Styela clava: one gene and its partner. Each later gene encodes a partner of the first gene's protein in a complex. Links are inferred from orthologs where the notes say so. Each region holds a gene or a part of one and is shown in the gene's direction. Other genes may lie near its edges. The genes, in order: DNA replication complex GINS protein PSF3-like and DNA replication licensing factor mcm4-B-like.

Evidence for each region.
Region 2: DNA replication complex GINS protein PSF3-like (region 1) and DNA replication licensing factor mcm4-B-like share a complex: the UniProt entries of both Homo sapiens proteins name them as parts of the CMG helicase complex. The link is inferred for Styela clava from reciprocal best matches to the Homo sapiens genes GINS3 and MCM4.

The regions. Positions count from the first base shown.
Region 1 is NC_135260.1:20,656,251-20,673,624, reverse strand, and holds DNA replication complex GINS protein PSF3-like, read left to right. Parts: upstream 1-8,283; 5' UTR 8,284-8,330; coding exon 8,331-8,487; intron 8,488-8,908; coding exon 8,909-9,027; intron 9,028-9,394; coding exon 9,395-9,511; intron 9,512-9,811; coding exon 9,812-10,036; 3' UTR 10,037-10,446; coding exon of another isoform or gene 10,447-10,554; 3' UTR 10,555-10,828; coding exon of another isoform or gene 10,829-10,933; 3' UTR 10,934-13,199; downstream 13,200-17,374. Other genes in the region: copper chaperone for superoxide dismutase-like, read left to right, coding at 237-260, 532-642, 1,083-1,185, 1,343-1,523, 1,890-1,950, 2,012-2,089, 2,156-2,238, 2,310-2,451; enolase-phosphatase E1-like, read right to left, coding at 3,092-3,945, 4,970-5,027; putative gamma-butyrobetaine dioxygenase, read right to left, coding at 10,447-10,554, 10,829-10,933, 13,591-13,713, 14,626-14,827, 15,693-15,817, 16,302-16,346, 16,746-16,821, 16,896-17,103. UniProt on the Homo sapiens protein: Required for correct functioning of the GINS complex, a complex that plays an essential role in the initiation of DNA replication, and progression of DNA replication forks.
Region 2 is NC_135254.1:19,990,116-20,006,873, reverse strand, and holds the start of DNA replication licensing factor mcm4-B-like, read left to right. Parts: upstream 1-8,997; 5' UTR 8,998-9,229; coding exon 9,230-9,248; intron 9,249-9,696; coding exon 9,697-9,740; intron 9,741-10,007; coding exon 10,008-10,110; intron 10,111-10,895; coding exon 10,896-11,059; intron 11,060-11,231; coding exon 11,232-11,368; intron 11,369-11,950; coding exon 11,951-12,032; intron 12,033-12,395; coding exon 12,396-12,491; intron 12,492-12,571; coding exon 12,572-12,710; intron 12,711-13,236; coding exon 13,237-13,411; intron 13,412-14,174; coding exon 14,175-14,439; intron 14,440-14,793; coding exon 14,794-15,058; intron 15,059-15,427; coding exon 15,428-15,537; intron 15,538-15,682; coding exon 15,683-15,786; intron 15,787-16,103; coding exon 16,104-16,280; intron 16,281-16,758. Other genes in the region: coiled-coil domain-containing protein 180-like, read left to right, coding at 1-218, 701-791, 946-1,055, 1,518-1,620, 2,231-2,335, 2,932-3,022, 3,595-3,755, 4,161-4,253 and 3 more. UniProt on the Homo sapiens protein: Acts as a component of the MCM2-7 complex (MCM complex) which is the replicative helicase essential for 'once per cell cycle' DNA replication initiation and elongation in eukaryotic cells.

The DNA.
Region 1 (17,374 bases):
TTATTTTATCTAACTACTTTTCGGTCGTATATTTAGGCACTTATGTTAAATCATCAGTTGTAATTATTTACGGTTAAATCGTAAATATGGTTAAATAAATAAATGAGGTATCGACACGCCTCAACGACCTTTGGTTGCGCAATACCAGAACCGATTTCTGGTTCACATTCTAGTGAGAAAGGAGGCGAGAACACTTCATCGCGGTACAATAATATCATCAATAACACTGGGGTACAATGGAGCATGATTCTGTCGCAAAGGTAAATTTCATTACGGTATTACCTATTATGTTATTGAAATTCCTCATTTCAGGGAGATGAATACAGAACAAAATTTTATTTCATTCAGATGGGCTATTTGTGCATTAAAAGACTAATAACTCTGCGCAGGTTAGAATTATGTAAGGAAAAATTAATTGCAGAAGATTCCTGAAATCCTTGTTGTCATAGAGTGGTTACTGTATCGCTTCCTCATCATCATTTCTCTCTCTTCTGCCTTTAGGTTAAAAATCATATTCTGCTCTTATTTCAGCTCGAGTTTGTTGTCTCAATGACTTGTAACACTTGCGTGGAAAAGGTAGAGAAAGTGCTTTCTGGAAACTCCAAAATAATCGGATCCAAGATAAACCTCAACATCCAGCAGGTTGGCTAATTATAGCAAGGAGAATATAAATAACTATAAGTTTGAATCAACACAACCTTATAAAGACTTACTGTGTAAATAACCAGATATGGGGCATGTTGCAGTCTTCAGCTTCATTACTGTAATTTCCCTAGTCATATTCTTCACGAAATTTCTATGGGCTTCCGCATTTCAAATATTCTATTAAAACTAAGACAGTGTTACAGTCACTATTGAATTTGGACTGAAAGTTATCTTGGATTCAGTTTTCAAGTTGTAATAATTCAAGTTTATGTTTCAACATTCCCTATTTCATGAGCATTGTCCATGTTTAAAAATTGATAGTAGCCTACAATAATTACAAAATGAATTTTAAACTATTTTATTCAAACAACAATCTCCTTTCACAAACAGTAGTGCTGATAAAAAGACACATTTTTGTGACTATATTTATTCACTAGGTAGTTGTTGACACAGCACTGCCTTTCGAAGATGTACAAAAATTGATTGAGAGCACAGGAATGCAAGCTGAATTGGTAGGAATAGGATCTTCTATGGGAAAAGGTTATACATGTATATTTTCTATTACACAAGATCATTGGATGCTGTTTACAACTATTGGGAAAAAGCAGTCGATAGATTCAGGATCATTGATTTACTCATGTAACACATGCTTCAACTTTTTATCTATTGTTATAATTGAATGATTTAACCTACTTAGATTTAGAACCCTTGGGAGCTGCGGTGGCAGAAATTCGTGGAAATTCTGTCAAAGGAATTGTAAGGCTCGCACAACTGACAAATAACCTTTGTTTAATTGATGGAATTGTTGATGGTCTCTCTCCAGGTTACCATGGACTTAATGTTCACACTTATGGAGACTTGTCTAACGGATGCGAGGGGTAATATGTTATATCATTAGGAATGATGCATACTATTTGAATTTGATAAGTAAATTTTATATCCATGTTGTCAACGTCACAGGGTATAAATATCAGGTTATGGCCCTGACCAACCCTTTTTCCACTGCGCACATTGTTATGAACAAATCGAAAATTTGTAAGGCTGCGCACATTGTTATGAACAAATCGAAAATTTGTAAGGCTTTGTAATGGCACAAGTAATGGCTATGTCAAACCCTATTGTGTTAACAACTGCTTAAAAATGAGCTTTAAAGTTGTTTTATCACTAGTTAGCGAATAACATAATACCTAATTGAGTAAGAATGAAACTAAGTATAATTCCACATGTTACTGTGTTTTCAACAGGTGTGGTGAACATTATAATCCTGATAACAAGCGTCACGGAGATCGTCTCGCTAAAGAGAGGGTAAGTTTTTATCACTTTCCATAGTTTCTAATGTGTCATTTAATGTTGTTTGGCCTTTCAGCATGTCGGTGACCTGGGAAATATAAAAGCTAACGATGGTGGACGAGCGAAGTTCAGGTTTACGGATAAATTTCTCAAGGTATCTTCCTACTTTATTTCAATTCACACAGCAAACATTTGTAAGAGAACATATCCTTCATTTTAGGTACATGATATTATTGGAAGATCAATTGTTATCCATGAAAATCAGGATGATTTTGTATCGATTGATGGAAATTCTGGTAAAGGGTACGAATTAATGTATTTTTTTTATCTGGCTTCAACTCAGTACTTACCGCTTGACCTAATTATATTTACAGCGTAGCATGTGCAATAATAGCAAGGTCATCAGGGCTGTTCCAGAATTCCAAACGATTTTGCACGTGTGATGGTATCTCAATATGGGATGAAAGACATGTTCCTAATGTTGGTAAGGTGCGTACTGAATTCTCGCAGCCTTGAGATGAAGAAGTAAGGCTCCATCTGGCAAATGAAATATTTCCATCCTGCTGGGTCTTGTCTAATCACTACCACTGCAAGATCATCATTCTTCAAATGGAATCAGTTCATTTTACTGGATTATTATTACATCATACATAGGGTCCTGGATCCGAAGACATTCCAAATTTCTTTTTCAAGGGAATTACTCTATGCTTAGAATTTCAATACTCGACACTGGGCAGAATTTTGCAACAAAAGGTTCACAAGCTAGCTAAATCTTTCCTTTATCAGAGATTTCCAGAGAGAGATATATGTTTTGTATTATAACTGCTAAGCCCAAACTAGCAACTTGATAATTTCTTGGACTCCTTCAATGGATGGTTGATTTAATGATAAACAGATCTTTTCAATATTTTTTTAACTTTATGAATTTCACCACATAATGCACAAACCAATTATTTCCTAAATAAAATGTTATTTAAGTTGGGATTTATGTAAAATATGCCTGCATGCTAATTATTAGCTTAAAAGGGAATATGCGCCAATCAGTAGTATTTTGCTGTCCAATACTGGGATCAGCAAAACATTACCAAGAATATGCAAAGACACATGCTTCCCAAGGTTTAGGAATACCAATCACTGATTACTAAGTACCGTAGTTTTATTTCTTGAGGGACTCGTCAACTTTCTGACGCTTTTCTGGAATATCTTCCTCTGTGAATACAAGTTCAGAGAACGATTTTATTGTTGTAAATCTTTCCAGATCATCTTTTAAGATGGGGTAGTTTCCTGGACGTAGCACAATACAAGCATTCATTTCAGCTGTTGTTGCTGCCTCTGCTTCAGCAAGGACATCTGTCAAGAATATAATATTTTCTGGGTTCTCGCCTATTGAATCTGATATCTTAATGTAACTCGACGCTTCTTTCTTCGCGCCAACATTTGTGTCAAAATATCCACTAAATAGTGGGCAAAGGTCACCCCTATTGCTATGTCCAAAAAGTAGTTTTTGTGCCTTTATACTTCCAGAAGAATAAACAAAAAGCGATTTTCCGTCAGTCTTTAGGGATTTCAAAGTACTCGGCACATCCTCATAAACATCACCCTTGATAAGTCCATCTGCGTAAGCAGACTGCCACATGTGGCCTTGCAACTGTTTCAAGGCTGTCGACTTTCTGTCTTTAGACATTTGCCACAAAATGTTTTTCACCACAGATTCTTGAGCACCTTTTTCATCATGTGATGGTATTAAAGGTACATCTTCAATTTCCGATTGTCTATCAGACTCTGCCAAAGCTCTTAGAGCTTCATAATCATCTAAGAGTTCTTTTTCATTCCAGTTTTTGGTCAAGTATGTCTTTATGTTTTCTTTGATGTATGGGAACAGGACTTCAGTGACAAATGTTATTGGTGTAGTGGTTCCTTCAATGTCCACAACAATTGCTTTAATATCAGTTTCAACAAACTCTTGCAATGATTTTCCTTTTGTGCTCAACTTCATTATTGCATAAAATTCTGTAATGGAACCAAAAGAAAAGGAAGTTTGACTGTTAGAGATTTCTGCAAACTATTGTGTGGTATTTCAGTTTCAAGCTACAAAATCGATTATTAATGTTAGCAGGGATAAAAATTGAATTAACAAATTTAGCAGAAAATGTAACAACCATTTCAAATTGTGTTACAGTCCTAAATGTTATAATTGCATAGCTCTGGTTAAACTGTTCCTGTGAGCAGTAGGAACCTAAGCATTTCGTCCTTAATGTGTCTAAATAGCGTGGCTGTTAAAAATGATGCGTCTTGTCATTGTATTTTCATCATCAGTGTTTTGAAACCAGTTATATTTTGCCAAATCGATGTTATGATTGCTCCTTTCAGCATTTATATTTATGCTAAGAAATTTGTCTTTATTAATTTTCAACCTCTAATTACATTAGAAATTCCAGTCATTTAGTTTTTGGCATGGCAACAATCTGCTTAGATGCCAATGGACTTGAAAACGCTTTCCTTTCAATTATATGGGTAACCAGGATAACTACCGGTATGTACATCATATCCTATCTTCATCAGCACAACATACGTTACCACATCGGTCAGCCAGTTACAGTTGAAGTGTAGGACTGTAGGTTACATTCAGTCATCAAGTAACACTATTCATTATTATAAACCTTATGTGTGTTAATTCTAATTGATTTATTGTACCTAATGTTCTTTATCATATATTCCATTAGTTCTCAATGCCCAACACTTCACCCCACATGGCTATACGCCTATACCTACCGACCGACGCCCCCTCAAATATTCCCCAAACTGTTATTGCCATCAATGTAGCTGAAGTGGGGAATACCCTGACAATTTTATGGTCTGGTGGCTCATCATCATTTTATTTCGGTATTCTGACAAAAAAGAGAACAACACAAAAAATAAACAGAAAAACAAGATGCAGAAATACCTGGAAAGCAAGAATAACTCGCAAAATGAAGTTGAAAAAAAACAAAAAAACAAATGTTTTTTTTGAGGGAGGGGTTAGCATTTATATCACCTGGTGTCACAATTAGTTCTGTAAATGAATCTGACGTCATAATTTCTTTTCTTTCCATCTTTGTGCGGTGACTAAGTAATTAGCTATAGAAGTAAGATCGGGCCCAAAAATTCCGCCCCGACCCAGGCCCGTGGGTATTAAACCCGACCCGAGCCCGTCTAATTAACTGGATTTGCAACCCAAGCCTGAAATTTCATATTTAATTTAGGCGTTCATTGAATAGTCATTGCAAGAGTTTTGTACAGTATGTGTCATGTTGATGAGGTAACTTCTGTTTTTTGCAGACCATGATCTTTCGTGGTCAAAACGCCTCATTTAAAAAAAAAGTCAGCGATTGAGAAGCCAGATCCGATTCGAACGTAATGATTGACATTTCCGGCCCGAATTTTGGGTCGGGCTTCAGATCTTAGCTCCAATTAGCAATGCCTATCCCTACAGCCGATATACATAGAATAGAATATTATGGCGTATTATTTCGTAAAACTAACAAAAATAATTATATAGCAATGTTGAAATTACGTGGCAAAATTAAACATAATTCCAAGATAAAAAGAACACAAAATGAGTACAAAGCAAAGGCATGTGTAATTAAAAATACTAAAACAACAGCCAGTTCAATATTCCTCATATTCACGAAAGTATATCAGTATTCTAATTGGTTAGGAGGATATCAAACTTCATGAAAGTTAAAACCATAACTCAATATTAATATTATCATCTCTCCTCATGCGTGGCACCCGTATTTCTACAATCGTTACTACTGCACAAACTGGAGCAGGCAAAAACAGACTTCACACAAAGGCATTTGCTGCTCATGCAATTCAATTTGGCACGGTTGTATTCAAAAGGGTGTGTCTATATACAAGAATATATATATATAAAATCTTATACAAGAACTTGTGATTTACATAATATGTTAATACGCATGCAGATTTTGGTGTATATTCATAAACAGTGCATTGATAGGTATCTTTTTGAAGATGAATAGTGAATATAAGTAATAAACATCAAAAGTGTTGTTAAATAAAGTAACTGAAAGATTTGGGCATTAAAAACGGTCTTGACAATGGAGAAGGGTACGAACTAAGCTATCCTGGGAACCAAATGAACATCTATTATGCCTGAGGGCGTATTATAAATTTAAGGTGAAAATTCTCCTACTGAACCTATTTGACGGTAGCGTCAGTTTCATAATGCACAAATAAGAAATCATTTTTAGCAGATAAGTTGAAACTGAAGACATGGCAGAAATAAGTGATCCTATTAAGGAGTGTTAGATGTAGATGCATATTACCTGAAAGTATTGTGGGACTGAGTTCCCGAACGGCTACTTACATTCTTTTCCACTTTGCGCAGGCCCCCAATTGCTAGATGATGGAAATGATAAGCCCAGTGATGAGAGCAGCGACAGTATGTCGGGTAATTAGCCAGTTATTTCAGATGCTTGGACTTGATGATGGAAGAAGCTGTAACCGACCCGCAGTTACGTGAACCACCCTACGGCGGCGAAGAGTCCAGCAATCCTCTCGCACATGGTTATCTCCCACGGATTTCGGAACTGCCTACCCACGCAGAATAACATTCCTAACGCTTAGCATGTTGCACCACACTGAACCTGAACTATGATCGTGTGAAGCGATTGCATATTTATGAATCCCCTTCTTAGTTGACCCGAAAGCTTTTCATTCATGAAATTTTTCCCAGCTTCCATCAACATTTTTTCGCAAGTTTAACAGCCAAGTGGATAGCAAGATTCATTATACACCCAAGATTTGTCTTTTTCTAAGTTACACTTTACTTTTACGCATGAACCTCAAAAATTCTCTGCAATTCCATCAACTCCACATTTTATCCAAACTTTGGCTACCATTTTGTTGTGATTTTTATTATACGCGCTAAGCGTTTAAAATTTTAAAAGTTTTTTCAGGGGTCAAGGGTCGGTGCAACTTCGATTCCTGAAATCTGCACCCACACTAGTGTTAACCATGGTTGAGCATTGAGGGTGTTGAGCACAAACAGAATTCGGGTCCAGGACTCCGAAAAACAGGATTCCGGGCCTGGTTTTCAACAAACAGGATCGGATCGGGAGTAGTCTATATAACGACTCCATAATCAGCAAAAAGGCGATAAGATGTTTGATAAAAACAAATTATTAAAAACTGATTATGAAATCCAGAAATCAGGAGAGTAAACAAATCCGTGGACAAGTTTTAAAACGTACAGAATATAAGACTGTAAGATGGATTGCCAAAAAGAAGTGGTACGTGTTCACTCACCTAAGAAAAAAAAAATAAAATCATTCACACACGCACACAACCATAGGGCATTAATAAAATTAGAAACGAGAATATCGGTCAGAGACCCATGATTTATCAATAGTAAGTTAGGCGATCCCCCAAAACAGCGCTCTTTCTCCATAGTGCCACCTTGTGTCCCATCACTAATTAATTAATAACTCGCTAATTATACGACATAACTCATTCAAAATCTATAGGCTTCTGATCCGAGATATGATGAATGCATATGCAAAATTCGGAGCGGATTCATTCTCTTTTTCGTGAGATATCGCTTGTGTCTATCAGACAAATACCCATCAACATACTTTCCGATCTTAAGATCGATAAGTAAAAAGAAAGAAGCTTTAGATAAATTATATGGTAACCAAAAAAAAATAAATAAACACATAAAAAACAAATTAGAATAAAAGATGAAATGTAAAAAATAATAAGGATTGTTTGCCACACCATTTTTATAATTTTATAAAAATATCCAAACAAGAGTGAACAGTATTTAATATAAGGACAAAAAAATGATTTCGCTAAGCTGATTATAATTGGAGTCAAGTGCCAAGTTGCCCAACCAAAGTTGAGTGCATGAAGAGGTAGGCTAAACCTTTTCATTAGCCAAAAACATGCCAAAATATTGCCAAATTGTAGTCCAGATTACATCAATTATTAAATACAGAAATACTACTAATAATGTGGGAATATTTTCGGTTGCCCGGAGTCAATCAGGAGTCCCAACTAAATCTATATTATACCCGATGGAAGTACCGTACATACATGCATAGTTTAAACGTACTTAAATTACAGAATTATCTGTACATAAATATTGAAACATAATCGTGCCTCGTTAGGCTGATGCCATTGATGAATCCTTGTTTACAACTGCTGTACAAGCCTGAACCAGATGTTCTGTAATTTCTAACAGAGTTCAGGAGTTGGTTATTCATTTGAATTATACTGGCCATCATATTCACTGCATGGTTAAAGGACCAAGTAGATAAAGTTTCCAATGAGCGAATAATATGTTATTAAACTTTTGTCTATAGATAATATACCTATAATTACTAATTATACTTATGGATTGTGCTCCTCCGAGCGGAAGCTTGAAGCAAAACTATTTTAGTATTGATGATATTTTAATGTCAAGTGAAAAAGTTCCATGTAGCTTTCTTTTGCCAGTGTTTGGTTTGGGTTTTCTGGATCCAGGAAGTGGTAAAAAGGACATAACCGAAGGTATTGCAGCAGTTGAATATTATGTATTGTTGCAGTATGCAAATTTTACATAATTCCAATTTTAAATTACAGGACTGTTTTTATGAAGTTTCATCACACTTTTTTTTAAGAAGCCACTGTTCAGGCTGTTACATAAATCTCTATCTACGTTAGTCATTCGGGATGGACCTATTTCTCTCGCATTTAATCCAATTTTAATAGATTAAGTTGAACCTATTTTTTCCACTGGTGCATATCACTTATGAAGGTTCATTCTCTTACGAGTATGCCAGCTAGCTCGAATGTTGTGAAATGCATTATTTAAATTTAACAAAATACCATTGAGTTTGTCTGGCTATCCACTAGCTACATGTATTATTATATAAACCGTGTAGTATAATTCCTGGTTCACACATTCTGATAATGCAAAGCTAATCTTCAGGTACAAAGATGGATTTGCCATTATGGCTTGCATCATCACTTGGAGCAAATCCTAAAAGAAAACTTGTATCTGTAGAAATAACAAAACCTTACAGAGAAGTTTATAGAGAAATTCTGAAGGTATTTTGAAAACTAATATTCTAATGAAATTTTTGTAGACAGAAGGTATTATGTGTATATTGTACAAACAACAATTCATATTGAATATTTATATAGGAATATGGGTATGGTAACAAGCTGATTAGCGGGCTAACTATTGAAGCTCAATTTTCACTTCTTTTATAGTTCACTTCTCTGTTATTAGCCTTTTCCAGCCATAGTCGTGGTCCCTCATTTAATAAACACAAAAATTTGTCAAATAATATTTTATTTAATTTATGAACCTTGTGTGTGCTATGTTTGGTTTTGCTGCATTCTCTCCTCATATTTTGCATGTGGCTCTGTTCATTCCCTGTTTGGTTATTTCTCTTTACATTCAACAACATAGGCTGATGCATCAGTTGTAGATCTACATAAACTCGGTCCATATTATTATGCAATGGGACAACAAATGCTGGTTTTTAATGCAGATGAATCTGTGTTTGTTGCAAGAAGTCTAGTTCAGGTAACTTATTCATGTTCTTTTCTTAGGCACAGGATTATTGTTACATTAGGAGGTGTTTCACATATTCCTCTCGAAAGATGATTTTAGTAAAGCAACTGTGAAAGGGATCAAAATATTCTCAATTTGTTAATGCTCAGCCTAATTTGTTTCACACGCACTGGGGTAGGGTTTGGATCTATGAGATTTCAATAGTTGGGCCCAATATGATGTGCTTCCATGTCACCTATATCACTTCCTTGTAAAAATCTTGAGGGGATAGTTTCAAATACATCTTGAATTAGGTTTCATTCTTCAATGCAGGCATTTGCTGATAGATTTCGCAGGATAATGGATTGGTCAACCAATGCATTCAAATTTGACAGTAATAGACATAAAGAAAAACTGGATGAAGTTGAACGAAATTTATTTGAAGTTGGACAAAAAAGTCTTCATAGTCATATGAAATGGGAGGTGGGAACTAGCCATAAATTAACTGCTTCTGAAATGGTAATCAGGCATAGAAAACGAAAGCGCGATGCTGAGTAAGGACTGTTTTCTGTAAGCTGATTACTATACCAGCCAATGAGTACTGACTTGCTGATCTGTGCACGACATGACATGAATGTCTGAAGAGTGAATTGGGGTATGGTTAAAGATACTAAGATGTTGAGCTAAAATCATTCAAGCACCAGACTAATAAAGAATGGTATCACAGTGTTGAGGCAAATTATAAATTCTTATTGCCCATGTACTCTCTGAAATCCATCTGTTACATTCAAAATGTAGAAATTGTCATATACTTTCGTAAATTTTATTTACTCATTTAATAACATTTGGCATATATCATATTGGCATTATTGCAACTTAAAATCATGACGATCAAAAATAATTACATAAAAACATAAGTACATACAACAATGAATTTCAAAAGTTAAAGGATGATGGACACAGTTTCATTAGTACCAGCACCGATTTCCGACTTTGGGTGGAACAACCTTTTTTCCAAGCTTGTGTGCCAGCACCATATAAGTGCTCTTCATGTCATCAAGATTAATATAACAACCCTGGTAAGGTAGATGTCAAATTTAAGAATACTATTTTGAGGGCTAATGTTTGATGAAATTCAAGTTTAAAATCTAGTGACAAACCATTGAAAATATATACTGTTTTTGCCCTCTTTTAAAATAAAACATTGAGATAACATGCAATGGATAGTGATAGGGGAGTTCTGCGTTAGTGTGTTATATCACTAGATGCTGGTGAACAATCCAACAAAATTATCCTAGTTGCTTCACAAGTTTGTGATTGGACACTATATATGCCCCCAAACTCAGTCACCTGTAAATGACGTTTTCCTTCTTTCGTATTATATTCCTTACGAGCATGGGCCATTCTTCTGTTGTTGAAGATTATCAAGTCTCCAGGCTTCATTCGGAAGCAAAACTATATATCGAATCAAACGTTTATAGTCTTTTATTGAAAAGCCATCATATTCTCATATTCCAAAGTAATATTAGAGTCAGGGATGGCCAATTCGAATATCGGAATTAGCGTTCATAAGAATATCGGATATTTGTGTGACGTCACACATTTTCGACGCCGCTTTCACGACGTTTCCGTTGAATGAAAACATTCTCGATAGAAACTTGCGCGTGATTGTTTTCATCACTCATCAGCGTACCGTGTTATTTAGGCCGTAAACGCCTTTACGTTTGTGTTATTTTCTCTAAAACGAAAATTTTCCACAAATTTGTTCCACGATAACGATGACAATTATTTCATTTTTGTACGCGCACGGAATTGTGAACTGGTAAATACGTTCATCGGCGGCGAGTTTCTAAAGACGCAACTTTTTGATTGAAAAGCAGCAATTTAAAATACTGAAAATAAAACCGCAAACAATATAAGTTTTATTGAGGCCCGCGAAAATTTAAAAAACGCTTTTCTAGGCAGTGAAAATCGTAAAATTACGTGTGCCTCTGGCACACATTATGTTTGGTCAGCGTTTAGAAATATATCGTCACGAATTGAGGGCGGGATTTGCCTGATTATCCATTACTTCAAATTGCCGTCGAATATTTTCGTGTTAACATGATACAAGGTTTGGAGCGTGACTTTTTTCGGGCTGTGAGGATGTATATAATATAATTAATCCAAAGTATATTCAATCAATTTTATTGTGATGAAATGAATTTTACTCTGAGTAACAGCAGATTTATGGATTTTTCGAACGGTTTTATTAGAAATAATCAGGTTCGCAGCATTTCGATTGAGCGGAGTCACTGTTAACAAGTACATCTAAATATTTGCCGAATTCGCAAAATACGGATCAAAACATTATTTAATCGGCAATTTACCACACGTTTTTATTTTTATGACCGCGGATTGCAATGGTATATAGGAGTGGTAAGGATTTTATTTTGTCGACGCAACCGCAGGTTAAATTGAAGACAATTAAATTAATAAAGCAAGACATTTTAAACAAGAGAGCTATGCTCAAATATATGGACACGTAGAGTCACATAATTTTGATGACGTCATAGCGAAAAAAAAAGTAATAGCCTTCTGGAGAAAATTTTTATCTTTAACCACTGAAAATTTCAAAGCAATTGGTCCAGTATTCGAAGAGAAAAGCGACTTTTTAAAAACGTGTCAAAGAACAACAACAACATAATATTGAAACGATCGTTATGTCCACTACGTGTCCAATATGCCCGTGTCGGTCACGAATTCATCACTTTGCACAACAGAAAAATATACATTCGTTGTCATATTATTTGTTGTAAAAGTCGACTCTTTTAACAGGTGGCATAATCGCGGCGATGAATATCTATTTTTAATTTACTGCTAAACTTTATATGTATATTCATTATATGAAATGATTTATACTCTACAATTTAAGAGAATTTTATATCATTATTTGAGATTTTTCTAACGGCGATAACGAGTTGGAAAGATTGCAAAAATACGTATTAAAATTAAATACATCAGGCAGTTTGTCTCGTACTTTTAGGTCACAGATCGCCGTTCACCGAATAGTAATGTTTTTTTTGACGTAAGAAGAAGCAACCGCGAGTTACGTTGGACACATTAAATTAATATCTAAAAATATTATAGAATCTCGTAGTTGTCATGGATTGAATATTTTACGTGACAGGATGATCATTATACGCTGAAAAAGACGGCTTTTTAACGAGCGAGGAATCGCGATGGGTGTTGCAGGCGACAATATGTTACACATAATAACAATATGGTTCACATAAATTAATATACAAATATACTGGTAGGTAGTAGAATACTCTAGGCTTAAATATTAGAATTTTTAAGGGCATAATGAATTTTCGATTGTTGTTGCTTGTTTCAGTTGCCTGTATTGCCAATAAATTTTATTACTCTCAGAAAATATACACAATTATCTGAATACAAGTAGTATTTTTGTCAATAGACTTGACTATTATCGTATTATCATGGTACCAATGATAGGAAGCGTCAGACAACTCCTTGTCTATCTTTTCATATGGTCATTTGTACTAAGTGAATAATTTTAATAAACTGACTGTGCCACAAGTTGCTATTATTTTTTATTGATAGCTATAAACTATCAATTACTTTGTGTACATATACTGTTGGTTTGTGGTTTTATTCTGATATTTCTATTAAAGCTCATTACCTAATTTACTGGGTTTTAATAAACTAAAACAAAAATGTGTTATTTTCGATTTTAGAATGTATTCGGAAGTCCAGATTCGAAAACATTATTTTAGAATGTATTCGGAATAGTTTAGTATTCGGAAATGGCCATCCCTGATTAGAGTCTTATGTTGCTGATATAATGTCTTGTCGGGGTGAATATACTGGCCAAAGTCGCCTCGCTATCGTGCTTTATGTTCGAAGAAGTTTAGGTGACAAAACTGGGTGTTCCAATGCGTATTAATTAACCTTTACTTACTTTACTCACACCCACCAATGCGCCCTTACTGTAACACGTTATCACTAATTATGGGATCTTGATCTATTTATAAGCCCGCCAAAGATGGCATGAATATTATGTCAAAAATAAGATTTAGTAAGATTATAGCATGGATAGATTTCATTTATACCTCTAATTCCTTTCTCCGTAATATTCTCAAGAAATGCACGTACGCTTTGAAGTATCTCTCTTCATCTTCGAATCGAACTCTTAACGCTCCTTCCACTCCCGGGTTCCAGTAGATTGCCACAGTCTGAAACAAGCAAGTTCGGTTTCAATATTGTATATTGTATTTCATATTTATCACAGGGGAGGTCGTTAAGATAGCTTGTTCATACAGTCTGAAACAAGCAAGTTCGGTTTCAATATTGTAGATTGTATTTCATATTTATCACAGGGGAGGTCGTTAAGATAGCTTGTTCATACAGTCTGAAACAAGCAAGTTCGGTTTCAATATTGTAGATTGTATTTCATATTTATCACAAGGGAGGTCGTTAAGATAGCTTGTTCATATGGTGTACCACGGCCTCTCGTGGGGTTATCGGTAGCAGTCCATATCGGGCATAGAATTAGTTGGTCAGTTATTTGTTTTGGATGCATGGACTTGATGGTGGAGGAACCCCAAACCGACCTACTACGTTCACCTGAACCACTCCGCGGTTCCAACTTTCCACCTCGCGCAAAATTGTCCTCCACGGGATAATTGAACCCGCACAGGGTAATCGGAGGTGCGTATTTCTAACGTTGGCACGGTGCGCCATACCGCCGAGCTTTTGTGTATATGTATCAAAATAATAATTTGCACCAAAACTACGAAAAAACGACCCAAATTAGCGCTATCACAGAAGCATGCATATATATATGAAAAAAGGTTACCTATTACCATGTTCTGACAGGACGAAGAGGCGCGATCTCCTGGATGAATGAAAATGACCGAGTTTATCCGAGACAATTCAAATTGTACGCGATTGCGGCATGTGGAAGTCAGCCTATTTCTAATGTTATTAAGCATTCAGATTTGATTAATACTAAATATTCGGCCCCTGTTTTGGAATACACCGTTCAAAGCCGTTCTACAGCAATATTCTGAATTGGATGAATTTGACAAAATTGCCCACGACTGCAAGTGCTAGCCTCAGTTCAACAAAGCTTAGACTTGACTTACGTTTCCAAAGTAATCAACTTCAATATGCGTCCTTGTATGCTCGTACCAAGCTGGGTTGGGGCGGTTCAAATCCTTTGTTTGAAACGTACCAGGAACTGTACATAGCACTTTGAAGTTTTCGGGAGATTCCTTTTTTAATATATCCGCCACGTGAAATAAATCTACCAGCTGTGATTCACCACCTTTGATTGAATCGTCGAATCTGAACATAGTTACGTAAAGTTCTAAATGCTAGTGCACACACGGAACATATGTATATATATTTTTTTTTCAGTGTGGACGAAAAGTCGGTTGAAACTTTTATCTGTATATATGGGTCTGTACCAAAAATAGAAGAGCAATTCTCGCCATAGTATATCTCTTCATCCACTCCTAATAGAACTTACATTATGCTCGAAAATTTGCGTATCTTATCTCTTATATATATATAGTTATATTCATCGCTATCAAATACGATAGAAATTTATTTAAAAATGTTGCTCAAAGTATCGGCTCAGAAGTTAATAAAAACCCGGAAGCTGGCAAATTCTCGTAGCTGTATATGTACTTCAAATGTCTTTTAATGCATCACACAGACATCTGGTTTCAACTACTGGAAATTATTTTGGAAGTAAAAAGCAGCTTAGGAAATATAAAATAAGGATAATTGTTGTATTCTGTAAATGTGAAACAAGGCACCATTTGGAATTATTATTCGATATCAAAATTCACATTCTAAGTCAATCGGGAGCTCAGTATGTGCACAAAGATGGCGCACAACCTGAACATAGTATGTGTACCAGATTAGGGTTCAGGTTGTGCGCCATCTTGATGCACATACTTCGGGAGTGCCGTCAATCGCGCAAGTATGTATGTATGTATGTGGCTACATGGCGAATACAAGGGCAGATCAATAGATATATAAAACATGCGTAGTTGCGTATTAAGTTTTTATAAAGATTACAAAATTTCATGTTACTACAATAATTTTTTGTCCAATTTCGCATCTGATAATTTTTAAATGAAATTATTAAATTAGGGAAATAGTATCGTGATGAAAATGTTGTAGGCCTACTCGGAAATCTTACTCAAGAGCATGAAGAAGTTGGACTCCCGGCATTGCTTCATAGTACGGTAAATCTTGATGGTAGGGAAGTCCCAAACTGGTATATGCCGAGTTATAAGGATCCGGCTCATACTTGACATCAAAGAACTAAATAAAAACGAAACAGTAAGCAAATTGCATCATCGTATTAATGGTTCCAGAGGTCGGGATATGTGCCTAAATCGATTTCTGAGCTTTACGGCTGACTTGTATGTATATTCATTTCCGAATCCTATTTTGCGCTGTTGTATCCAAATACTGCAAAGTTTTTAATATGGTATTGGAAAAACTAAATAAAAATAGCAGATATTTACGCTCACAACATCCTTAACACACGCTGATCGTCGAGCATCACACCCCTTCTATTTCAATTAAATTTCTTTTAGGGGATGGCCAAGTTTGATCGTCTACTTTGTGTACTTACTCAGATTATCGTCACAATTTGTATTTGCTTTTGGAACCATAGCAATCCATTGACGCCGGCGATTGTATCATTGATTTATAACAAAAATAAATAACAAATTCGCAATTGTACAATCGCAACTACAACAACTCAATATTGAAAACGAGATTCTTTCTCAACTGCACTTACTTTTTCGTACAGAGTCGATCGAATATAACCAAACATTTCGCCAACCTACAAACAGAAATTTTTAGATTTTTGAATAAGTCCTATATATATATATATATATATAAGTACAACAATATATTACCGATTTTACTGCATATGCTAGAATGATGACGAAAAAACCTAAAACGTTTATTTTCGTTCGATGAAAATTTCTAAGCATACTTTGCGTGTCTAAATGATGCTGAAATGGTTGGTTAATTTGCTCTTGTCAACTCCCGTTTTCGCCAACATATAACTAGGACAGTATGGAGAATTGGATGTATGGTCCTAATCCTAACCGAAGTTCCCAAAGTCCTAATCCTTCCCAAAGTGAATAGAAACTAGCAAAGCGTGCTTATGCGCACGCAATTTAAAAGTATTGCACATTAAGGATATTCTATGATTGAATTCACACCAAATTCTCACCTTGAGCACTGTTAGACTCTCCCTCGTGACATTTTCTATCACGCAGAAACCAACGTCAACAATTTGCTTAAGGCATCTAAAATGAACAATTAAGTCGAAATAGAATCGCAATACAATTATTGTGCCATTCAAATTTAATTTTTCGCCTACTCAAACTTTCCCTCTTGAGATTGTAGAGAGTCATAACAAACTCTTGGAACAGAAGTGGTTGCAGGGTTTGCAAAGTTGAAGTTGCTCCGAGCAATGTCGGCTTTTAGACACGAATCACAGTTGCAGTTTTCCTTCAGCCATTCAAAAGGTATAGCTGTCTCGTGATTTTCCATAACCTCTTTGTCGATTTGCACATGCAAAACGCCATCTGTTAACAACATATTCATTTAATGATATAGCCTGGATTTTCTTCTAAACCCTTGAATATATTGACCAAAATGACATCTAACTCAAATTGATAAAACGAGAAGGAAAAATACAAAAACGTACTTAAAAGTTATGGCCATATATACTGATACAAAATCATTAGTGAAATAGAGGAATATCACATTCACATATATATTAGTATTTTGATGTTTTCCTTTCGTTTTGATTGTCAACTCCCGTCATCACACCTTATAAGTACGCCTCTGTGAAGT
Region 2 (16,758 bases), on another chromosome or scaffold:
GAAAAGCCAGCATCTAGAGGTGGGGGACTAACACCTGCTCCATCATCAAGACAAAAAAGTCGGCAGAGTCAAGGCAGAAATTCAAAAGCAGGGTCAAACAAACCAACACCACCAGGTGTGAGTGCCCCAAGTCGAACTGACCTTCAAACTGGTGGAACATCAAGGAGAGCTCAACACCAGGAAGATTCTGCTATTGGAATGATTAAAAGCATTCTCAGGTACATAGGATTGGATTTTCATGTGTATCCTGGGGGGGAGAAGGAAGCCGATAAGATGTCTTAATCATATGGCAAGCCACAGCCTCTCCTTCGGTTACCAGTTCATGTCGGGAATGGGAATGGTTGACCATTTATTTGTTTCAGATGCACGAGATTTGATGGTGGACGAAGATGTGAACAACCAAATGTTGCAGGAACCACCACTGGCAAGAGTCCTGCAATTCACTCGCACATAATTATTCACTAAGAGAATTGATTCTGGAACACACTCAGGGTAATTGGAGGTGTGATTGCAATGCTAAGCACACTGCTCCATAATGCCAAGCTATATTACATTCTAAAGCATTATGGGTCATTTTGGTATGAAATATCATAAAAATAATTTTTGCATGTTTTTGTATATTCACTTCGATTTATCAGTGTCTGTATGTTTTACATCTGACCTTATTTTTACCAAAATTTCCATATTTCATTTTCAATAGGGCACAGAAAGGGATGGACCCTGAGTCAGAAGATTTAAGATCAGTTATGACAGGAGGAACAAGACCTATTCCCTCTACTGCTGCCTCTCAGGTATTTTTTTATTGACAATTCACAGACATACATTCTTTTACCGGTATATACAATAAACAGGCCCTGATTTGTACTGATATCACTGGATGGATGAATATGAAAATCTCGTTTTATGTATTTGATTAAACAAGACTTCCAATTCAAAACATTTTAGATTGGAAATTCTCGTATGCAGAAAGGTAGTTTTAAAAGACAAGGAACATTAACAAGCATTGCTGGAAGTACAACTGATTCTGATAAAGGGAAAAAGAAAGATGGCGGAAGGTAGAATATCAGAAACATTTTCTTCAGTTAATATTACAATTTTTGTATGTATGTAAGCCGTGAATTGAATGTGCGATTTGGATTTTCTGTGGACACCTTAATAGTATGGTTCTACTGTGCTCATTCATTTTTCGCTCAAGTTCATTGGATTGGTGGAATACACTTGCCATTGCCCCTATGATTACTCTGCATGGGTTTGCAGGATCAACATAGCCGCTGGTCAGTTATGACTTCTTGCACCATCGAGCCCATGCATCTGAAAAGAAAATACTGGCTAACTAATCCCATAGCTGACATGGACTGGTACGTGTGACTGATGTCGATGATTAAGTCATATTATCTACTTTCTTCTCCTGAGATAAATCTGGAAATCCCATCCTCCCTCACCAATAATACTGATTTTAACATACTTGTAGCAATTCTTCTTAATAAAATGTATTTTATTCTGCTTTTCTTTTCCAGTCGAGTCGGATCTGGTATATATAAACGACGTGAAACTAAATTTGAACTTCGACATATGGTGTTCGGTACCTCATCAACTTCTGGAACTCACTTTGAGGCAAAGGTATTACAAACTCATGTTGGCTAATGATCATACTGAGGGTGTAATAGGTTTTTTATCTGGATACATATTTCACAGGATAGCCAGGGATTGCATTTTTCATGTTTTTATAGCAAAAAGAAGTGAAATTATAAAACAGCTAAATCATATGATATATCTTGGTTCGATCATCTTAGTCGATCAAAACCTTTGTTTGATAGTGACAATACAATTTTTCTAGTTGCTCTGATAAACAAATCTCGATAAAATCGATGTTTATTTATTTCTTGTGTCTCGAGTTAGCCAAGATTTTGCTTTGGAAATAGTTTATGGTCAAACAAGTTGGGACTCACTGGACTAGATTAAGTGAACCACCATTTTATGTGTCATAACTTGCACATAAACTTGCATCCTGAATACTTGGGTATTGTGTAATTTTTCTTTACATCAAAGTCAAAATTTTTAGACGAAACAAGGCATAACTGTAAAGATAAAGATTATAAAGATCAGGATCAATAATTTATTACAACAAATACCTTAGGAATGCACATAGTCAATAACTCTTTTTGTTATTTTCGTATAAAAAGATTCATCGTATACATCGTTAAAGGATAGTGTCATTGTTCAATTCCAGATCACTCAAATACTGTATGAAACATTAGACGGATTACTTTCAACTGGAGAAATTTATTACAAACAGAAAGGAGCGAGAGCTGTAACTAGACCAGATCATATGCAGGTATAATACTATTCTCATATTTAGTATATAAACTTTTGCAAACATAAATATTTTTCAATAAGCTAGACCAACAGTTCAAAAGCTTGAATTTATGGACTTCACATTGTTGTGTGCATGATATTTTTGGTGATATTTTGAGAACATATTTTGTGGTAATAAGTGTCAATTTGCTTGATGGAGTTGTGATAACATCAATTTAGCTTGTTTGTCTTATTCAAGTACTCAATTCTGGAATTTTGAAGATCGACACACCTCTGATCATCCTGTGTTGGTTCACAGGGATAGGTATGTATGAGAGATTGCTGGACTCTTCGCTGCCATAGGGTGGTTAAAGTAACCGTTGGTCGGTTACGGCTTCCTCCACCATCAAGTCCATGCTTCGAATAACAAATAACTAGCTAACTAATTCCATACCCAACATGGATTGGTAACCAGCTGGAAGGCCGTGGTTCGCCATATGATTAGGCCATCTTATCGGCTTTCCTCTTTCCCAGGATAAATATGTAAATTCTATCCTATGTTCTTGTAAAAATAGTCTATGTTCTTTTTCACGAATAATTACCAGTATGACAAAATGTTCTAATTTTACTATTTAGGATAATTTTGATCAGTTTTCTGATGTTGTTGTTGCAAAATTATTAAACTACGAAGAACAAACCAAAGAATACCACAATACTTCTTTACAAGGTAAGAAGGTAGTTTTGATTTCTCTTCACAACATTCGAAAATAACAAGAGAGCGATGCTCAAATATATGATGGATGAATGAACGCGGAACCGCCACAAAGCAATTTCTTATTTTGATGACGTACGTCATCACACACAAAACACGAAATAAATAAAATTACTAGTCTTCTAACGACAACAACAATCTTGAGCCATAGAAAATTTCAAAGCAATTGGTCCAGTAATTAAAGAGCAAGGCAATTTTTTCATAAAAACAACAAGAAAAAGAATTCTAATAATAACACCAACAACACTTTGTGTCCAATAATAATAGATATCATTGGTTCAAAGCTGGCCTATTTCTTTTATGCTGGTGAGATGTTCTACACAGATGAGAATATTTACTTGGTTTATTTTATCAATACTTCAGTTGGTCATTTTCTTGCACTCTTGTTTAATTTTGTGGAAGGATTTTGGTTAATTTGTTAATTTATTTCTTTAAATTTAATGTGAATGACTCGGCTTGCAAACACTAAATTTGTATGTAACTAACTGAATGTCATAGTGATGCCTGACTTATCTGTTTTGTTTTAGAATTCCGCCATCAGTTGAAAACGCTTGAGGAAGATTTATCAGAAGTTCCTAATTTAGTTTTGGACGAGATATTGAGAAAAAGTCTTCAAAATCTCAGAAGAGAACAACAGATCATTCAAGCTGAATTTTTAATAAAAGAAGCTAACTGGAAAAAAGTGAAGGTTTGTTTCATCTTTGTTTGTGAAATATTGTCAATTTGTGATCCTATATGACACTACAAATGAGTGATAAGGATTGCTTCATCAGAATATTACTGTCATTCAGTTTAAAATAACTACCATATTGATAACCTGCTTTGCTAATGATTGTAACACATATCTTACAAATAAAAGTTGATCCCAATGGTGGATTTGATGAAGAATGAAGCTGTAACTGACCAGCGGTCACATAAGTCTAGCAGCCCACTCGCATACATGTACTCGACAGGATTCTAGGTGTGATGGAAAGCGCTTCCAACTTTTAACAAGATCCATCAATCATTATTTCTATTGACATTTATTTTGAATAACTACATGAGAAATTATTTCCAACAATATAATTTAGTTTCAATATTTACATTTTGATAGGAAAATCACAAAGTTTCTCTCAGACCAACATTAGGCCATCCTGATCAGGAAGTAAGACTTCAACAACTGATAACAAAAGAAGAGGAAAGACAGGTTGGATTATTGCTTAAGTAGTACATCCCCAATATTGAAACTAACCAATTCGCCGTGTAATAATGGTCGAAAGCAGTTGTGGGATTCAGGCGGTTCGCACCGGTTCTATAGAACCGTCTCACGGAATTTTATGAGACCAGTGAACCGGTTACCATTACTGGTTACTGTCAATGACTTTTAGGCAACAGAACCGACTAGAACATATGACTTTTCTGATGGAACCGGCTAACAAAAAATTTGAATCCCACCACTGGTTGAAAGCCCTTGTTTCAGATATTGTAATCCTTTTATTTCTATTTCACCCAACCCTTTGAGTTCATTCAGAAGGTGCTGACATTTTTATACTCGTTAATTTGTATATTATAGTTCATCCAAAGTTTCCTAATGCTAGAAAATTACTGTTAAACTATGCGAACAAAGGCATAGGTACCTTAACATAGATCAAACATCCCAGATCTTGGTCCACAGAAATAAAAAAGCAAGCTGAAATATCGTGATAATATAGTGATGCCAGTCTCAGTCTTTTGAGACTATCCGCTGTTGAGACTATTTTCCAATGATACTCCAAATGATAATTTAGAATATACAGGGTAACCAAAAAAACAAAACTTGTAAATTTCTTAATTACTCCTACAAAAATAAAGAAAATTTATTTAACACTTGAACCTCTGTTTGTGTATGATTCTTCCCAAAAGTTGCAGTAATATAGAACGTTTTGCACAAACGTTATGTTCTCTCTGGAATATGTTCTATAATCGGTGCCCCAGAGGTATGTGCATCTGAATCTGTGGGCTTCAAAGAATTTCTTTTTTTGTGTGCGAAAATGTTATAAAAAATTTTGCGATTGCTACACTAGTACCGGTAGCTGTACTACTTCGTTTTGGTCTTCGTGCCCATATATTAAGCATCGCTCTCTTGTTTTTAGGCTGAAAATTTGTCTGGTATTCAACAACACAGCAAGGATTTGAATGAAAAGGCTCATGAAGTCACAAAGCATTTTTTGCTCAATATTGGACAGGCTTGTGCAAGTTTATTGGATCAGTTTGATTATTCTCTCACAATCGATGATGTCAATTCAGGAAGTATGAATTATTGTCATATGTTTTGATGACTGGTAAATAATTTGATTTGTGGCTGGTTCAGATTAAATTTGACACTTTGTGTGTTGGATTGAAAATTTAGTTTCTACATTATATACGAATATTTATTGAAAAAAGTATCAGTTTTTTTAGTAAAGTTGATACTTATACAATTTTTCATCCAGTTAACAGGAATGGCATCAATGTTTAATTAGCGAATTTAGTCTTTCAAAATATCTTGATATTGGACAATTTTCGGTTTTAGCGTTGAATTTCGAATTTACTATTGAGGGAAGAGGGCAGGATTAGCCATCTAACTTATAACTTGTGATCTAACTTGTGTAGTAACTACTTAATAGCCCCATGTGACTGTATAAGTTGATGATAATTTTAGAGATTAGTTCGGCTTTGTAAGCTTAAAAGGGATTACTGGGATCATCACAGCCATAGGGTAGTTCATGTATCCGCTGGTTGGTTAATGCTTCCTTTGCCATCAAGTTCATACATCTAAAAAAAGTGACTGATTAACTATTCCCATTCCTGAAATGGACTGCTAACCGGATAAGAGGCTGTGACCCGCTATATCAGGGGTCACCAACCTTTTCGAGGCCGAGGGCTACTTTCTGGGTACAGATTAAGCCGCGGGCTACCAATCCAATGTACACTTCTAAAAAGTCGCAGCTGTGTGGCCATCGTTAGTGTGCTAAGCGTTAGGTTCGCGAGGATAGTTATGTGCAAGAGGATTGCTGGACCCCTTGCTGCCGTTGGGATGGCCCGGGATAAATATGTAAATCCCATCCTATCCTGAGTTTATGTCAAAAATGTTGATTCACAAAGATAGGTTGAACGAAACAATGGTCTCGTAAAATAGAATTGCTGTATGATTTGAATCGCGAGCTTTTTCTGTCCGTACTGCGCTGGATAGTTAGCGCGGTAGATTGCGTGACAAGCCGTGAAATATCTTTTCGCTTGCCGTCGCTACAATCGCCCCACAGATGAGACACGCGCAGGCTGTTTTCATGTTGGTAAAAATATATCCACCCCCAATCATCGTGAAAATGGTGGGTTTTTCATCGTTTTCTGCCATTTTTCTTTGGAATCAATAATTATATTATTGCTGCTCCACAAACCAACGGAAAAGAAAAAGCGCGGAAGTGCGGGTTCGTAGTAAGTGATATCAGTGTGATGTCATAATTGGAAGAGTGTTAATTGACCCGTCACATTACTGAGGGTCAAATAAAAATCAGGTTGATGGCTACAATAATTAATATAGTGCCATTCCCGATTCCCATATAAGTGTGATTTATACAAAAATAGCAGGACAAAATTTAATCGATGTAGCTTACTCATAAGCGCCGTTATTAAGCTCAGTTTGGAACAGACCTGCGGGCGACTTATATGGTCTTCACGGGCGACTTGGTGCCCGCGGGCAACGTGTTGGTGACCCCTGCGCTATATGATAAACCTGTTTCGTCTTTTTTGATAATCCTATTTTGTAATTATTTATATTCATATTTTTTAGAAATTGAGTTGAAAAAAGAACCGACTAGTATATTACTAAGGAAGAAAGCTGCTGGTATTGATCTGCATGACACTTCATATAGACCATCTTTGCCACGTGGACCTAATGTCTGGCCAGGGCTTGAAGTTTCTCATCTTCTTGAAAAGGGAGAAGTATTAACTGAAGTAGCAGGTATTGAAATTTTGTCTTCTAAATTTGAACATTTCTTAAAACTCACTGACTCATTGCGTTACGGGTTAGGTTTATTGCCCTTCATGGAGGCATTTGTGAACCCTGTTTGGGAGTATCTTGTTCAATGAATTGGTGGATCTCTTATCATCACAATGTGGCTTCCTTCGCTAGGTATGCCTACACAAAAATAACTGATCACATTATGGTTACTCTCAAACTGGACTTCCTTTTGGGCGAGATAGAATTTTCCTATTTATTTCAAGGGGGAGAAAATCAATTATATCTATGGCAAGTTTATGTCCCGATCAAATCTTTATGTGTCTGTAGAATCTATTGTAAAAACGTATCAATTGAGGCTATATACCCTACTGGTTCATGTCCCAGTTATGTGCACCACCCTACCTCTGAACAGATTCAGTCAATCCTCTTACTCACACATATCCATCACACGATTTGAACCTGCTGACCCAAGGAACAGATTAGAGGTGCAAGTGCAAGTGTGTTTCTTCTCTAGTATTAACTTACCCTGAATGGCATGAATCTAAACTTCAATCATTTTCTCAAATTTACAGAAGACATAAATTGCAACAAGACGACGCTTTCACACACATCATCCGTAACCACGAGAGATAAATGCCTTACAGCCTTCACTGAAGCCTATAATTCAGTCATGGGTGAAATTAAAGAACAGGAAGAATTAAGAACACTCAGTGAAGAGAGATGGGCAGAAAATTGGCGACAGTCTGTTCGAAACGTCCAACAGCTTTATACGTGATTGATAAATTCAAAAGATTAAGTTGTTATAGGATGTAGATGTATATATATCCCTTGTATTTTCCACTGTTTGTAATAAAGTTTTAGTTTCATAGTGTATATTATTTAAGGAGTGAATGAGGTGCGTTCTACCAGAAATATTCCAGTTGTGAATAAAAGCGCACACGCCTTGGACTTAATAGTCGTGACTCGTAGTTTTGACGAACGCATCATCACTTTTCGGATAAAAGGTCCTAAAATCCCTTTAAAATAACTGTTGAAATGGCTCCAAAGGCCAAAGTAGGTATTTTACAGAAGAGCGTGCTGCCACAGGTTCGGTGGATCTTTGTAATGGTGTCGCAGTCATAGTCAAGTTTATTTTTTCCCATTCCCATTTCCTGAAAACACATTTTTACTGGGGAAGGGAAGTCGCGGGGAACCAGGAATGGTTATCGAGCAGCGACACCCGAACCATAGAAGTCTGAGAACTACTGTCCTAGAAATTGTTTAGTTGCAGTAATCAAAACATCGCTGAATCAGAGGTACTTAAGTAGTTACACAACACTAAATTCGTTCAGTCATTGTATTTCAGTTCTCTAACATGAATCAAAACAACACAAAAAGTAAACAGAATACAGAGATATCAAAAAAAGCGGCCATAACTTTTAATGATCGCAACGATTTATGTCGGAATAACGAAATGAAATGATGGACTGATTGAACTCGCGATTTAAAATCGTGCAAATACTTCTACACAATTTAAAATGATATCAATAAATAGAATCAATCAAACAATTTATTTTGGTCACTCTGACCCAATTAAATGTAAGAACAGAGCCATTGGGGAAAATTTACAATCGGGCAATACAACAAATTACTGCTTATCCATATTATTATATCACATCTAAAATGGAAACCAGGCGATTTTTCCTCTCGCTCTCTACACTTTTAATCCATATTTAAGTATGACAGTCCAAAAGTTCATTGGTAGTTTAGATCTGGCCAAAGCCGCGTTTAACTAGGTTTGTGTTTTTTGTAATTTTTCTTTATGTGTGTGCTGGTGGGCGGGCACATGATCAACTTCATGTTTCGAACGTTTTTAAAAGTTTGGCTCGCGTTTCAGAATTCTCTATTTTTAATTTGTGTGTGATATTAAGTTTTCAAACGTTCTAACTATCTATCCATCCCATATTTATCCCTGCTTGGAAAAGTTTTGAGCAGATCGATGTCATTGAGCAGACGCACCACATGCAGCGCTGCGCCACCAGGAGCTAAACAACTTCGATCTGGCACTCCTCTTATTGACCGGTGAACATGTGTGTGTGGCGGGAAAGCTAAACATTTGCATAGGCTTCGACAATAAGCCAGTTTGTTTACCAGGTTGCCTGACACCAACTCAGTCATCTTTTGCCTAATTTTTGATGTTCTTGACGTTTATCGGGGAATAAACCATGTCTGATAGATCGACACGTGAGTATTAAGTTTATAATACGTTTTGCTAAGATTTCACTGTGTATTGCCAGGCTTAAATCTGTAAATGCTATTTATTCAACCATTTGCGAAACTGATTGCCAAAATATTTTAAAGCGTCGTACCTTAAATCTAAAAATAGAGGATGTGATTTATTTACCGTATGTCAGTATGTGAAGCAAATTTAAAAATATACACCAACAGACCAATGCTAGATCTGGAGATTGTTTCATGTTCCTGTGTTCAGATCTTCTGGTCTATGAACATAAAAAAATTGAGTGTCTGTTTCACTTTTTCAACTGCCCTATAGGACAGTCTCACAATTTCTTGACATTTGCCAAACTAGCCTACTGGCCTAGGGCAATAATACTGTAATACATTAATGCTGTAATGTAATATCTGAATACAGAGCGTATGGTAATATGTGGCCCTATTTTCTTTACTTTAGCTTCAAGAAGAAGAAGAAATCCCAAGTCTCCTGGTCGACCACAGGTGTGTTTCTTTTAGTCTTACAGTCTTATATTGTTAGTCAATCTGTGTTCCATTTACAGAATTATAGCTGGATTTACTGTTATTTTTGTATTTTTCAGCAAAGTGATACCAGTAGGCCCTATTGGGTTTATCTTGAAAAGAGCTCAAATCTGCAAATAGAATTAATATAGCAATTTTTCACTGCCATTGATTTCAATTGATAATGCATTATCAATTCTTGCCCAGTCTTTGAGAATAATAGCCTATGTTTGTTTTCTTCATTGTCAGGTTCCATCAGGAAGTAGTGATCCTCACCTCTTACCAACATCACCTGCCAGGTTATTGGATGTTTCTAGAGATGCAATATTGCCAAGTCCTGGATCTATTCTGGGTAATGTATAAATTTCAAAAAATTGGCAGTGCGTGACTAACTAGTGCATTGTTCTAAGCGTTAGGAATACACTCGCCACTACACACCTCTAATTACTCTGCTTGGGTTCGCAGGTTCGAATTTGATGTGGGGATGGTAATACGCAAGGGGAATGCTGGCCCCTCATCGCCCCCTCTTCACATAACCGCTGGTCGCTTATGGCTTCCTCCGGCATCTAGTTCATGCTTCCTAAAACAAATACCTGGCTATTTAATCCCATACCCGACATGGACTGTTAACTGGACGAGATAACGTGGTTGGCTATATCATTAAGCCATATTATCGGCTTTCCTCTCTCACTGGATAAATATGTCAATCCTAATTCCTATTCATGTTTGAGTCTGTTTGAGTCTGTTCCGGATAAGCATAGGATTTTCATATTTATCCTGAAGAAGAGAAAGAAAGCCGCTAGTAGGATGTTTCAATCCATCTGGTGAATCACAGTTTCTCGTCCAATAACCAGTCCATGTCAGGTATGGGAATAGTTAACCAGTTATTTGTTTCAGATTATGTGCGAGAGTTTCACTGAACTTCCTGTAGTAATAGACTGGCTCCCATCACAGCTAGCCATTTTTGACTTTCTCCACCATCAGAGTTCATGCATTTGGAATGATTGACTGATTAGCTCTTCTCGTACTCAGCATGGACTAGTTTCCCATATGTTACTCTGGGATAAAAATAGGATAATCCTTCACTGCTTTTATAATTACTAACTACAAAATACTAATCTGCCGACTGTTGCACAGGTGCCAGTGAGCTGAATTTGTCTTCTCCATTGTTGTATGGCACACCTGGTGCTCGTACTCCTGGTCGAACTCCTCGTGGAGCTGCTACACCAGTACGACAGAGACCTGATCTAGGAAGCAGCAGTAAAGTTCGAACTGTTAATGTGAACCCAGATGCCCAACAGGTGATAATCTTACAATTGACATCAGAACTGCAAACTCTCGCCTATCAACAAAATGTTGTGTTGTTTTGCTTTTATGACAGATACTAGAATGGAGTGTTCTTCGGAACTTTCCCTCCAAAACAGGTTTTTTGGTCTATTGGCCATTTCCAACTATCTTTATTTAATTTTTCAGTCGTCTGATGCAGCGCCGCAAAATGCAGACATATCTGATGCTGCTGATCAACCTGCAGTCAGTAACCAACTTGTAATATGGGGAACGGATGTTGTTGTCAGTCATTGCAAGGAAAAATTCAGTCAATTTGTTACCAGGTACTAAATCATAATTTTTATGGAGCAGTTATCGTTATCAAATGATGATTTTATCACATTGTGTCTAAAGTCTAAAATGAGGATTTCACTTTAGTAAATGTTTTTGAAATGTGTGTATAACCTTGGAATTCTTTGAATCTTTACCCCAATTCTCTATGCCGGGGGTGTGCAATCTTTTATACGAAAGGGCCAGATACAAATAACTAGATGAAACCATGGGCCTCACCTTTTTTCAACATATGCTTTGTAGTAGTTGCAGGCACAAAAATGTTGGTTATTAAGCTTATGACATGCGTTGTTCGCTTCGCACAAGCTAGCTGTAACGTCATAGACATAGATGATAAATTGCACCCGGGTATAGGCTTTGCAACAAAAAGCGATTGGAATTACTCCCACGTACCAGATTAATGAACTGTATTAAAAATTTGTTTCTTTCATTTACATTTAATAAGGCTTGTTTCATAGTAAAGCTTATTAACCGAATAATAAATTATTATAAATCTCTTGATAATATTAAGAGAATTGAAAACGCATTAGACTAACAAACATGAAAACATCTTCTAATTATCTTATTTATTTCAGATTCATTGATCCAAATGCAGACGGAATGGAAGTGGATGACATGGATGTCAACCAACCACTTTATCAACAGAAACTGGAAGAGGTTTACTTTATTACTAAATAATAAATCAAATAAATGAGTTAATCAACTCATGCTTGGTTTTACAAGAGACTAACCACCTTTTCTTGCTCTATGCCTTTGGGCAAGTAGATCTGTATGTGTACAATGCAAGGGTGCTGTAGCAAAAATCAAGTTGACTATTCTATTTAAATCAGGAATCTTGCTGCACACTAACGTAAATATCTTTTGGTCGTAATATTACAGTAATACATTTGTGTTAGTCTGCAAAAAGACTTTTTTTAATCAAATATACCAAATGATTAAATAATAAAAAGTAATAATATTTGCATGACCAGTGACCACATTGATTAGAATATCTGATTCATGAATCCTGTTAAATTTTAGATCAGTGTTACAGAAGAGCCATACTTGGATATAGACTGCATTCATCTAAAGTCGTTTGATCGTGACCTGTACAGACAACTCGTTTGTTATCCACAGGTATAAGCATACTTCTAGAAATGTCAACCCTTGTGTCGTTTCTTGTTTAATGTTTGACAAAGTTTTATTCAAATATTTAGGAAGTTATTCCAACTTTCGACATGGCTATCAATGAGATGTTCTTCACAAAATATCCAGATATTGCACTGGAACATCAAATTCAAGTTCGGCCTTTTAATGCTGAACGAACCAAGAATATGCGATCACTAAACCCTGAAGGTAACAATGAAAATTTTTTTTCTTCTAATAATCAAATCTTCAATTTATTTGAATGTGATAAGAAAAGGTCATTTACAGTTGCAAAATGAGACATGCCTAAAATGATACCATTATATACCAATTTTGGATTTTTTGAGTACAGTGAGTTTGAAAATCTCTATTGAAAATTTAACAAGTTACATTCCTTAATTCTAAAATTAGGAAGCTAGTTAAAACAAAGAATTTTTAATTGGGGCTGTGGATTCTGAATTTGGCATCATTAAAGTCTGCACCGGTTTTAAAATTTCAGATAAAATTTTCTACTAACTAAAAAACATTAGATTTTTCAAGTGTTCTAAACAGTTTATTAAAGAACGTTTGCATATACCTAAATTTTGTATTAAAAAATTTGATTTTCTATGGTTTCGGACAAGGGGTCGGAGTCCATTTTTTACATAATTGAGACTTGAGTCGAAATCATTCTTATTAATAAGAGGCACAACCAAAATTTTTCGTTTTAATTTTAAATTTTTCGTCTTTTTTCTAGATATTGATCAACTGATCACAATCGCTGGAATGGTTATTCGAACTTCATCTCTTATACCGGAAATGAGAGAAGGATTTTTTAGATGCAACATCTGCCTACATGAGGTTGTTGTTGAAATTGAGAGAGGCAGAATTGCTGAACCTGCCACATGCACCAATTGTTCAACTGTACACAGGTGAATACAGTATATTTCAATTTAAAGCTACTTTATCTATATCAGGGTTATGCTTTAAGATTAGCATGGTTTCAGTGGAAATAGAGAAATTTATTAATATATTGCATATTGATGATGATAACTCTTCCTGGCATACATGACCGGTTTGTTCTAGGTGAAGTTTTCAGTATTTTCCAATACCTTTTTGTGATTTGCAGCCACTTTAAGGTGAAAAAATGTAATAAATTTCTTTTAAATTCATAGCTAGCTATTCATCTAATACAGAGGTGGGCAATTACTTTTCTTGAGTGGGCCAGTTACAGATTGTAGACTTAGATCATTTAAAGATAATAGACTTGGTTACCGGGCCGGAAGCTCAAAACTATGAAAAGTATGAATAAATAACAGTTTATTTACAACAGCTAGGCTAACGTTTATATAATAACAAGAAGCACAATGTCACAATTGGGGTCGTTAGCGCGGTCCGTATTTTGCCCATCCCTGATCTGATGCTATTTATATTTTAATGCAGAAATGCAAAGTACTAATATAATTTAGTCATGCTCAAAACTACATTAAAAATGAGGCATTTTAAATCAATTTTGTCTATTGTTTAGATTGGTAGTTCACTAGTTTGCCTCAAAAATTATCAATATTTTGAATGCTTGAAAGAATTTTGCATCTGAACTTATTTTTAGGTTGATATTGAAATTCTATGTAAACTCTTAAGCTTCAAAATGGCCTTATATTACTGTTTAAAATTTAACAAATGTATTCTTTTCAGCATGAGTCTCATCCATAACCGTTCGCTTTTCACCGACAAACAAATGGTAAAACTTCAAGAATCTCCGGATGACATGCCAGCTGGACAAACTCCGCATTCTGTTATTTTACATGCCTATAGTGATGTGGTTGATGTTGTACAACCAGGAGACAGAGTGATTGTGACTGGGATTTACAGAGCTCAACCTTTTAGAGACAATCCTAGAATGCGGAATGTGAAAGCTGTGTATAAAACGCACATTGATGTTTTGCATTTTCAGAAAAAGGCTAGTCTTCTATTTTATTATTCAAATTATAATTTTTGAAGTTTTCCCCACACCTATTTCATATTTAGTCTAGTTGTTTTATGCAAACTCAAGTCATTTGGAACATATTCTAGAGAAAACATAATTTTGTGTAAATTGTCCTAAATTACTAAAACTTTTGCCTTGGGTATATAGTCATACACAAACAGAAGTTTCAAATACATTTTCTGTATTACTACGACGAAAAGGAATTTGTGGGTTCTGTTTTTTTGGGGGCTCACCCTGTATATTGTTTAAAAAAATGTAGATTCAGAGATCAAGGGAAATCTCTCGTATCAATATCTAGCTTTATTTAAAATTTTATCATATTTGCAGGACAGTAAAACTAAAGTCACTAACGACGAAGGAGATGAAGTCATCAAATTTTCACAAGAACAGATTGATCAGATTAAAGAACTGTCAAAGCGCTCTGATATTTATGACAGACTTGCATGCTCGATTGCACCGAGCATTTATGAAAACGACGATGTGAAAAAGGGAATTTTGTTGCAATTGTTTGGTGGAACACAGAAAGATCTAACTGCTGCTGGGAGAGGACATTTCAGAGATTGTCTGCATGTTCTATTGTGTGGTGATCCAGGTAAGACTCTACAACTGGCATGGGCAAACTACCACCCATTGGGTACTCCAATCTGGCCCGCCCGATGCTGCCACAACCAAACTACAAACAAATTTTGATATGTTAGCTAAAAAATAGCTCAATGAATTTGTTGAAATTGCGATTGAATTTAGTTTTGGCACGAGGCTTATTGTTTTCTACTTTTGTAACACTGTAAATATTGTTCATAAAACGTAACTTATAAATATGTAAATCAACTTGAAACTTAAAATAATATTATAAATTAAAATTTAGATAAAAATGTTAAACTAGTAAAGTTAGATTTTACGAAGTATCATGGATTCAGTTCAACAACGTACATGTAACATTGCTTTACTTTCTAACATACAGGTACTAGCAAGTCTCAGCTTCTGCAATATGTTCATAACATGGTGCCACGGAGTCAGTATACGTCTGGAAAAGGATCAAGTGCTGTTGGATTAACTGCTTATATTACGAAGGCAGGTTTTATATTCATTTCAGAAATCCAATGTGTGTCCATTTTGCTCAATGAAGTATTTATGTACATATCCACAATAACCCATAAAACCCTCCTCGGATCCATGGCTGAAAAGCACTGGTTGAATTTTGTATTTTCTTTAACAGGATCAAGATACCAGACAGTTGGTTTTACAGCCAGGTGCATTGGTACTGAGTGATAATGGAGTTTGTTGCATTGACGAATTTGATAAAATGAGTGATGGAACAAGGTAGTTTCCTCAATTGGATTTTTGAATATGTATAATGACATTTGTTATTTCTAGTTAACCCACTTAGTTATCTCTGACTCATTTTTTTTTTAGGGTTGGTTCTCCAATTTTATAATTTATTTTGATAAAATATATGTCCATATTATTTAGGTGGTTTTTAATTCTGTTGTCAGAAATCCAAAATCTTTCTGTTTTTTAAAAACACAACATTCAATATATATTTTGAGGTTTAAGATTATTACGTACTTTAACTACAAACTGATATTCTGCAAAAAGTATTAGTTTTACGGCATTCCTTTTCTAAAACCCCAATATAGATCAATCCTACATGAAGTAATGGAGCAACAGACGCTTTCCATCGCTAAAGCTGGAATTATTTGCCAACTGAATGCTCGAACATGTGTTCTTGCTGCTGCTAATCCATGCGAATCTCAGTGGAATCATCGTAAAACAATCATCGAAAACATCATGCTGCCTCACACATTGTTGTCAAGGTTTGCATTGTTTAGCTATTAACTCAATTTATTTCCCTTGACAGTTTACCGAAATAACAAAATTGGGGATGAGAGATCCATGAATCTAATGCAAAACTGCACTACAATGATACTGCACTTTGATTTGCAACTAGGGTTAAAATTCTACTTTTTTTACTTGATATTGTGTGATCAAAACTTATTACCATGATCGCGTGTCAGGATTCTACTTTATAACAATCCTACCAAGTACAAACACGCAGATTATTTGAAATTGGTCGATAGGAAGAATTCACCAGCTGCTTTGCATATTCAGATGGCGATAACTCTGGATTACAAAAATTTGGCTCAGACTACGACTTCGGATTTTCATCTGTGAGAATGAAAAATTTGAATCAGACTCCCTGCTCAAAACCCGAAACAATCCAATTCCGGGAATTGTTGTATGCAAGCTTCCCCTGATACTGTTAAGAAAGCTTAGTAAACTTGAATCTTCTTG